2 linked regions of the Caenorhabditis elegans genome follow. The protein of the gene in region 1 purifies or fractionates together with the protein of each later gene. This does not show direct contact. Each region holds a gene or a part of one and is shown in the gene's direction. Other genes may lie near its edges. The genes, in order: gsto-1 and aco-1.

Evidence for each region.
Region 2: the proteins of gsto-1 (region 1) and aco-1 fractionate together in Caenorhabditis elegans (co-fractionation; one large-scale study listed by BioGRID). This does not show direct contact.

The regions. Positions count from the first base shown.
Region 1 is NC_003281.10:7,945,025-7,949,189, reverse strand, and holds gsto-1 (Glutathione transferase omega-1), read left to right. Parts: upstream 1-2,171; coding exon 2,172-2,317; intron 2,318-2,400; coding exon 2,401-2,620; intron 2,621-3,158; coding exon 3,159-3,285; intron 3,286-3,335; coding exon 3,336-3,595; 3' UTR 3,596-3,648; downstream 3,649-4,165. Other genes in the region: col-90 (Putative cuticle collagen 90), read right to left, coding at 1-300; Condensin-2 complex subunit kle-2, read right to left, coding at 3,883-4,149. UniProt on the Caenorhabditis elegans protein: Exhibits glutathione-dependent thiol transferase activity. Has dehydroascorbate reductase activity and may contribute to the recycling of ascorbic acid. Participates in the biotransformation of inorganic arsenic and reduces monomethylarsonic acid (MMA).
Region 2 is NC_003284.9:11,337,996-11,344,044, forward strand, and holds aco-1 (Cytoplasmic aconitate hydratase), read left to right. Parts: upstream 1-1,878; 5' UTR 1,879-1,880; coding exon 1,881-1,971; intron 1,972-2,150; coding exon 2,151-2,319; intron 2,320-2,369; coding exon 2,370-2,507; intron 2,508-2,554; coding exon 2,555-2,624; intron 2,625-2,796; coding exon 2,797-3,605; intron 3,606-3,653; coding exon 3,654-3,942; intron 3,943-3,989; coding exon 3,990-4,568; intron 4,569-4,648; coding exon 4,649-5,167; 3' UTR 5,168-5,332; downstream 5,333-6,049. UniProt on the Caenorhabditis elegans protein: Catalyzes the isomerization of citrate to isocitrate via cis-aconitate. Has probably no RNA-binding activity.

The DNA.
Region 1 (4,165 bases):
TGGTCCTGGTGGTCCAGCTGGGCATCCTTGAGAGTTACTGTCACAATTGCACATTCCTGGATAGACGAATCTCTTTGAACGGAAGATCGATGGCATCACATTTTCAGTTTCTCCAGTTGGGGATTGAAGAACAAGAAGACGTTGCCACGTGTCATCAGCTAATACTTTGAATTCATCAACACGTCCTTCAACTTCATCACGCAGAGAATTAATATCTCTAACAATATGACTAATTGAGAAAAGAGATGAAAGAACTCCAAGAAGACAAATTGAAGCACCAATATAACCAATAGTCGACATGATTTTGAATCAGAATTCGCTGATTCCAAATGGAATTCAAATTCAGATAAATGCAATTACCCTCACATATCCTTTTTATACTCATTCTCTCGTAAACGCCCTTTGGCGGCGGCAAAAACTCGCCGAAAAACTTGATCCGATCGAAGAAAAAACCGAAAAAAAATTCGAATTGTTGTGTTGTTCGTCAGTTGGATGGAATGATGATGAAGGAAGTTGATTAATGGATATGACTGATGATTAGTGGTGGAATATGGAATAATTATTTATTTGATTTATTCTGATTATTCTGAATTAGAATGTATTTTCATATTTCAGGAAAAATGATTTTATTTCGAAACGAACTTGTTCTAGATTAAAAAAATTGAAATTTAATATTTAGTGCTATACAATTACAGTACCCCATGGAAATACACAAATATCATAAATACAAGAATTATCTTCCTGGAAGTTAAACTTATATTTTCGATGTAAGTGAAAAAGTTTAAAAGAGAAATGATGTTTGTTGATCTTCCTGTAAGTGGAAACTGGAGAATTCATAAGCTTAAAAATTCCAAAATATTAAAACTTGCGTGTTTTTTCTGAAAATCGATTAAAACAGCAATATTCAGCATGTTTCCAGAGCCAAAAAAACCTGCAAGCATGGGATACTTTTGCAGTTAAAAAATGTTTCAGGAACTTGAATGAAGTTAGGATGCATTTGAACAGAGTAATGAAATTATATGAAATTCATATGTAGACTCTCCTACTCAGTTGTTTGTATGTGAGTTTTGTATATTATAACTTATTTTGAAATTATCTTTAATTACTTGTAATGTTTTTTGTATGAGTTAAATAATAATCTTTTGAAAATTCTTTTTCAAATAACCATTTTCTGTTTAAAAAAACAGTGAGCCCAATATAAACTTGTTTTCCATCAAACCGAGCTTCTACCAAAGTTAACTTAAATTCCATAATTTTCACAAACCATTCATAGTTTGTCTACGTAGCCTTATCCTTTTTTGAACATTGAAAAAGTGAGGAGAAAGTGCGAAAAACGAGTTTTTTTCTTTCTCTTCTTCTTGGTCGTCACGTCAAGACACTCTGAACGTTGGAATGGGAAAAGCATCGAAGATCGAAAAATTCTGATTTTTTCTAAAGTACACAACTTATATTGATATTGCATTGGGATTTAAAAAAGCTCTACTCGAACATTTTGATTAATTTTAATATCTCATTTATTCATCTTTCGATAACAGATATATCACATTGTTCGGTAGGATAAAAGGGCTAAAATCAAGTTTTGAGGAATGTTCATTTGTTTGGAAGGTGATATTATAGTCTGCGATAACTACATAAGTTTGGAAACCGAACACATGTTTTTTTGGCACTTTGCTAAAAAGTTGTCTGAAAACGTTGGAAATCAATATTTGGTCATTTATTTAGGTCATTTTCGGACCATTATAAGTGTTTTCTAATACAAAACTGGCGCTGCTCCGCTATTTAAAAGACTGAAAGTGACATAAATGATCTAATTTCCAGATCTCTTATAACTTTTTTTATAGCGGTTCCACTCCTAATTTGATGTGTTTACTTGTTGCATCAGATCATTTTTCACTTCTTGTAATTCTTATCAGTTTTCTATATTTTCTTTCTTATCAATTTTTCAGCTTTTCAACATTTTCCAGTTAGTTATTCAATTTTTATTCCGCACGATCACTGCTGTTTGAATTCAAATATTGGAGTATTAAAATTATACATTTATAACCATTCTAATGTCTACCTTCTACACAAATTACCCTTCCTAGTAGAAAATATATTTTTGGCTTGAAATTTGTTCTGTACTGTCCAAATGTATTTTTCTGTAGAAAAATTCAAAATGTAGATGTTTATAGATGGTTTTAACCGGAGTAACATCAAAAGCAATTCGAAAAGGAGATGCGGAACCTCCGCTATCAAAGGGATCTTTTCGTGTCTACAACATGAGATTCTGTCCATGGGCTGAAAGAGCAATGCTTTATGTTGCAGCTAAAGGAATTGAGTGAGTAGTTTATTTATTTTATTAGTTTCTAAAATAGACATATGAAAAGTACTTTTTTAAGAAAAAAACCATTGAATTTTCAGAGCGGAGGTAGTCAATCTCAACGTAACTGACAAACTTGAATGGTACTGGACAAAACATTATCAGGGAAAGGCTCCAGCAGTAGAGCACAATGGAAAAGTGGTCATTGAGTCTGGATTTATTCCTGAATATTTGGATGATGCATTTCCAGAAACTCGTATTCTTCCAACTGACCCGTACGAAAAGGTGCAACAAAAGCTGCTAGCGGACAGGTTAACTGCGGTTTGGTTTTATTTTGTTTTTCAAAAGAAATAAAAAGTGTTATATATAAAAACAATAAACATGGTTTAAGACTAATGCAATGGCAATTATTTACCATTAGTTTCCTTCTATCCTAATTTTGGAAGTCGTCCAAAAAATGATTGTTTTATACGAGTTCTAAATTTCACTTTCCGAAATGCTCGAAATTACTAAAAGCACATTATTCGAAATTTGCCAATTTACCAGAACTTTAACTAAAACTTTTAAAATAAAAAAAAAGATCTGCACGTCTCTACAGTTGTTTTGAAGGCGCAGCGATACCAATACCTTTAAAAATGGAAGGAAACATACATAGTTTCTAATCCCCTTTTTGAACTTCCTCTAATATAAAAAATCAGTTATTCGCTCCGCCCATTTTTCAACCAATCAGATGAGTGTTTGGAGTCCAAAACTCTGATTGGTTTGAGAGTGGGCGTGGCTATTCATTTTGGAGGAAATTCAAATATGATCTTGAATTTTTCTATTTTCTAAACTATTTTGTTTTAAATAAGCAATTCAGGTAGCCCATGCAGTTCCATTGCTCTTCGCCGTCATGCGAGACCGAACTTTGAAAGATGAAAAGCAGCGAAAAGTTTTTGAAGTTTTGAAACAAGCTGAAAATCTCTTGGCCAATGATTTTTATGCTGGTGAGTTCAATTAATCGATACAATTTTTTGACCAAATTCAAACTATTCAGGATCTCAACCAGGTTATCCAGACTACTTATCATTTCCATTTTTTGAGAAAATTTGGTGGTCAGCTAGTTTGGATGGAGTTGTCGATTTACCAACAATTGAATTCCCAGGAGAAGAAGAATATCCTAAATTGACAAAATGGTTCCAGAAAATGATTTCTTCAGATGTTGTTCAATCCGTCACCCAATCTTTGGAACATGGCGCTGCATTCATGAACGCATATGCCACGCACCAGGAATTGAATTATGATTTGGGCCTTTGATATTAAAACCAGTCGATTTATTTTTAAGATTGAATAAAAAATGAAGGACGTAATTAAAAAACAATCAAAGAAATAGTGGTAATTCGTCGGAAAAAAAGTTATTGTACAGTCAGTAAAGTACCATAACGAACAGAAGAAAAATACTTGGCATCTAGAAGTTAATTAATTGATACAGTAAAATGAAAGTATAGCCAGAAATCGAGATACAAGTAGAGACAATGAGGAATGTTTAAATAAATTAAGATGGTTTTCGGGAGATTTAATGCAAAAAAAACAATAATTATAAATTAGGCATCAAGAGCGCCAGCCTCCTTGAACATTTCACAATGCATATCTCTTTTGAGTAGTGTGATTTTCATCGAGTTGATTCTTTCCTCGAGTGGCAGTTCCATGTCCTCGCTGACCATGACATTTCCGACATTACACATAAAGAGGCACGAAAGGAAGTATCGACTGATTTCGTACCATGGACGATCCATAACCAAATCTAGTAAACGTTTCGTGCCACCTTCAATATCGTATTGGCCAATGACAGCACGACCAACTGCGTGAACCTGAAAATTATTATAA
Region 2 (6,049 bases), on another chromosome or scaffold:
TTGGATTGATGAATCTCCGAAGGAGGTGTGAAGTCTTATGTAGCCACTCACTTCTTATCATGCCGGAAGGGCCCATCGGAAGTGGATAGATGGGGTTTAATGGAAAGAAGGCAAGTGTGTGTCACAACAAGCGTCGAATCCTACGTTTTTCTGATGTACACTGATGACTAGGTTGTTGTGAATACATTAATAGGATCTCAGCGTAGAACTATGACACTGTCTAATGCAACATCATCGAAACACACGAAAATACTTTTAAAAAAACAAGCCGAGTTTTTTTTTTGGTAGTTTTCAGAATTTTTAACAGTGTTATTCATTTACCAAGTGTACTCCCTATTAGTTATACAGTGTGTAATTTTCTTGCATTTCTAAGAGTCATCCTAATATTAGAACTTCAATCAGTATTTCAATAATTCGGGACAAGACAAGGCGTACCTTGTAGAATTTTCAGATAATTCTTCAATTCCTGAAAAAATAAACCTAGACTTGTTCAAAACGTTTACACATGTTAGCACTTGTCTTGCTTTTTACAACTTAAAAGGCTACTAGAGGTAATACGGGGAATGATTGTGAGACCAATTTTAATAAAATACGTTTCTATGAATCTCAACTTGGGATCAAATAAAAATATATATGCAAAGTCTTTCTGAATAAAACATGGTTATACAATGATACGCGGTAAACTATGAAAAACGGTAATTGTAATATTATGAACCAGCCGTGGTCCGCACCTTCGGCGCGGCCCCCGACTTCTAGGGCTGAAAATCAATTTTTATGAAACTACCGTAACCCTACAGTATTCCTACCGTACCACTATTGTACCACTACAGTACCCCGACTATATCCCTACACTAACCCCAACTCACTATCCCTCCAGAAGTCAAAACTTCACAGACTACAAAGACTACATAGACTACAAACTATGGACACACAGAATAAGCGCTTTATATTATATATAGTAAATTATCATGAAGAACAGAGACATATGAAACAAAAATATCAATCAAAAAACCAACCAGCTTGTGCTCAAACATCTTCTGTTTTTTTAACTTAGTAAATTTTAGTCACGCTAACAGAAATTCCGTACTCTATGAATTTTGTGAACTACAGATTCTAGTGATTCTAGATTCTAGTGTATTAGTTTAGTTATAGCATGGATTCGATTGCATTTTTTCAAATGTTTTTTTTTTTGAAAAATAAAACGAATTTTTGCTCTTCAGTTTCCCAAAGGAATTTCCACCTCACCATCAATCTGTGCAAAGTTCTCCCACTTGATAATCTTTTTTAAATGATCTGATATCAATGATAACAAAAGATAAAAAATATCGGACACAAATCTCTGAATTTTCTTTTTATCTCTCAATATGTCTGAGAGCGCATTGTTTCAATTCTCAAAAAAACCACACTGCAACATTGTCGTAACCTCTTGGGTCAAGTACGCAACGTGTATGCAGATCGGCCCTCTTCTTCTCTTCCCACCGCACACTATTTCACTGTGCACATTTACCTTTTTTGACTGTTTCTTGAGTTCTGAGATGGTATCGTTTTTTCTCGCCGCCTTTTTTCTCGACATTAGCCTTCTAGAAACACTGGACAACGACGCAATTTCGTCCTAGCTGATATGAAAGATGACTATCTTCGACCGACCTTGGCACACACACACACATACACAACATACACAAAACGCTCTCACATTCAATACAGCCACACACACTAAGCGCGCTCAGACACACACAAAAACGGACAGGTCGACTACACCGATTCGGCACGCCTCCATTAGTTTTCCTCGCATTCTCTTTTTCATTACAATGCACTTTTGTCGTTCTTTTCTATCGAAATCCTTTTTTTTTTAAATTTTTTCCATATCTAACTTTCCAGATATGGCTTTCAACAACCTTATCCGCAACTTGGCTATCGGAGATAACGTCTACAAATACTTTGACTTGAATGGTCTCAATGATGCTCGTTACAGTAAGTATAACTATTTTACATCCTATTCTCAATCTATCTAAAATATATCTGCATATATTCAATTTTGGAACTTTTGTAAACGAAAAAAAAAACAGCGAATTTCGACGAGCAAGAATAAATTCATTATGTTAAAGTCATATATAAATCATTTTCTTTAAAAACCTTCCCAAAATTTTCAGACGAGCTTCCAATCTCCATCAAGTACTTGTTGGAAGCCGCAGTTCGTCATTGCGATGAGTTCCATGTATTGAAGAAGGACGTGGAAACCATTCTTGATTGGAAAAACAGCCAGCGTAACCAAGCTGAGATTCCTTTCAAACCAGCACGCGTTATTCTCCAAGATTTTACGTGAGCTTGAAAATAAATTACCAAATTTATGTACATCAAGCAATTTTCAGTGGAGTTCCAGCCGTCGTAGATCTTGCCGCTATGCGTGACGCCGTTCAAAATATGGGTGCTGACCCGGCCAAGATCAACCCAGTATGCCCAGTTGACCTTGTCATCGATCACTCCGTGCAAGTCGATCACTACGGAAAGTACGTTCTGCGCAACCTGGTTTATACATTTATTGTATTTTTTTCAGCCTTGAAGCCCTTGCCAAGAATCAGTCCATTGAGTTTGAGCGAAACAGAGAACGCTTCAACTTTTTGAAGGTAAGGAAAGGTGAAAATGCCACTTTCAGAGTTTCACTGTCACGTTTTACTCTCCCCATCACTTTTCGGAAAATCACGCTATGCATTTGATTGCCCTTATCACTACTTTGTTCAATGAACACACAAATATTCAGATAGCTTAAATGAAATTGTATTATCAAATTATTTTCAGTGGGGATCCAAAGCTTTCGACAATCTTCTTATTGTACCGCCAGGATCTGGAATCGTCCATCAGGTTAATCTTGAATATCTTGCCAGAACAGTGTTTGTTGGAAAGGATGGCGTTCTCTACCCTGACTCCGTCGTTGGAACCGACTCCCACACCACAATGATTGATGGAAGTGGTGTTCTTGGATGGGGTGTTGGAGGAATTGAAGCTGAAGCTGTGATGCTCGGACAGCCAATTTCCATGGTTATTCCAGAAGTTATTGGATACGAATTGGTTGGAACTCTCAGTGATACCGTTACCAGTACCGACTTGGTTCTTACAATCACAAAGAACCTTCGTGATCTCGGAGTTGTTGGAAAGTTTGTTGAGTTCTTTGGAACTGGAGTTGCATCGCTCTCCATCGCCGATCGTGCAACAATTGCTAACATGTGCCCCGAATATGGAGCAACAATTGGATTCTTCCCAGTCGATAGCCGTACCATTGACTACCTCACTCAAACCGGACGTGATACCGATTATACTCAACGCGTGGAACAATACCTCAAGTCTGTTGGCATGTTCGTCAATTTCACCGATGACTCCTACCGCCCAACATACACTACCACTTTGAAATTGGACCTTGGAAGTGTAGTGCCAAGTGTCTCCGGACCTAAGCGTCCACATGACAGAGTTGAGCTTGCTTCTCTGGCTCAAGATTTCTCCAAAGGGCTCACTGATAAGATCTCCTTCAAAGCTTTTGGCCTTAAACCAGAAGATGCCACTAAATCTGTCACAATTACCAACCACGGAAGAACCGCAGAGCTTACTCACGGGTAAGACTATAAATTAGAAGTACATGCAAAAAATAATGTTTCTTCCAGATCCGTAGTTATTGCTGCCATCACATCCTGCACAAACACCAGTAACCCAAGTGTCATGCTCGCAGCTGGATTGGTTGCCAAGAAGGCTGTTGAGTTGGGATTGAATGTCCAACCATATGTGAAAACATCCCTCTCTCCAGGATCAGGAGTCGTCACAAAATACCTGGAAGCATCTGGTCTTCTTCCATACCTTGAGAAGATTGGATTTAATATTGCTGGATATGGTTGCATGACATGCATCGGAAACTCTGGGCCACTTGATGAGCCAGTAACAAAGGCCATCGAAGAGGTATTGTTGAAACTACTGTTTTCTTTTCAAAATAATTGTTTATTCAGAATAACCTTGTCGTTGCCGGAGTTCTCTCTGGAAATAGAAACTTTGAAGGAAGAATTCACCCACATGTTCGTGCTAACTATTTGGCATCTCCACCTTTGGCTGTTCTTTACTCGATCATCGGAAACGTCAATGTTGACATTAACGGAGTTCTTGCTGTTACTCCTGACGGAAAGGAAATCCGACTAGCCGACATTTGGCCAACCAGAAAAGAAGTTGCCAAGTTTGAGGAGGAATTCGTGAAGCCACAATTCTTCCGCGAGGTGTACGCTAACATTGAGCTTGGATCCACGGAGTGGCAACAATTGGAGTGCCCGGCTGTCAAGCTTTACCCATGGGACGATGCCTCTACTTACATCAAGAAGGTTCCATTCTTTGATGGAATGACTAGCGAGCTTCCATCACAATCCGATATTGTAAACGCACACGTTTTGTTGAATCTCGGTGACTCGGTAACCACTGATCATATTTCTCCAGCTGGATCAATCTCGAAGACCTCTCCCGCCGCCAGATTCCTTGCTGGACGTGGAGTAACGCCAAGAGATTTCAACACTTATGGAGCTCGCCGTGGTAACGATGAGGTAAGAGTTTATTCATTCAATATATGATTTTCTAAAAACTTTGAATTTAACAACACATCACGTTTTTTTTTAAATTTCAGATCATGGCTCGTGGAACATTCGCCAACATTCGTCTTGTTAATAAGCTTGCGTCGAAGGTTGGTCCTATTACACTCCATGTGCCATCTGGAGAAGAGCTCGACATCTTTGACGCTGCTCAAAAGTACAAGGATGCCGGAATTCCAGCCATCATTCTTGCTGGAAAAGAATATGGATGTGGCTCATCTCGCGATTGGGCTGCAAAGGGGCCATTCCTCCAAGGAGTCAAGGCTGTTATCGCTGAAAGCTTCGAAAGAATTCATCGTTCCAACCTGATTGGAATGGGCATTATTCCATTCCAATATCAAGCTGGTCAAAACGCTGATAGTCTCGGACTTACTGGAAAAGAACAATTCTCAATTGGAGTTCCAGACGATTTGAAGCCAGGACAGCTCATTGATGTGAATGTATCCAATGGTTCAGTTTTCCAAGTCATCTGTAGATTTGACACTGAAGTCGAACTCACCTATTACCGCAACGGAGGAATCCTCCAATACATGATCAGAAAGTTGATCCAATAAACTGTTATTTTAGCTTAAATTTTTGAAAGTCAATTTTTTCTATTTTTAGATAACTATTTACTTTTCGATGCATCAATCCTTCTCTATTTTCTGTGATATTTTATGAACATGTTTGAAGTCCAATAAATTTGTGATTTGGAGCAACGAAATAAATCAATACTTTTTATAATTGGGCTATAAAACATGTGGATGGTCAAATTTATTTTAGTTTTGGCGTCTCTGTTTTGCTAAAACCACTTAAATTCGTAATATTTTACTAAAACTCAACAAATAACGTATTTCTACTATTTATAGGAGAAAGAAATGTGCTTCCAGTTTGACAGTGTTTAGGATATAACATTTTGCAACTTTTTCTTAAAGGTCGTCATCACTAATTGTATTTTTTGTTCTCTCAGTCATAAGAGTATAAATAAATAAGAAAACATCTTCATTGAGAACAACAAAATTGGGTGTAAAAGCTCAAACATTCTAGTTGTTTGAACAAAATGAACAGAGAGATTACGGTATTTATTTGTACTGAACTGACTTTTTATAGACTAACATTTCAGCAGTTCATTCGTACTATTCAGTCCCATTTAAAAGTGCACACTCACCCAATAAAATCTCAGTTGCCCTATAGCTAACATCACTAAAGTAATATGAGACCCTTGCCAGCGCAAAAGATATTTTTATTTCAAAATAAGTAAATTTTGCATAACTTTACGTTCTTTGCCAGAGAAATGAATGAAGACTGTAATAATTGACCGCTTAGCCGTTCATCAAACAAATAGAAGAGTCGGGAGGAAGTATAATCTTTTGTGAGTAAATGCAACACCTTTCCATTATTAGTCGACACTTTTTGATTTGGAATTAATTTCTGAAGCTTTCCCTCTACAAAATGTT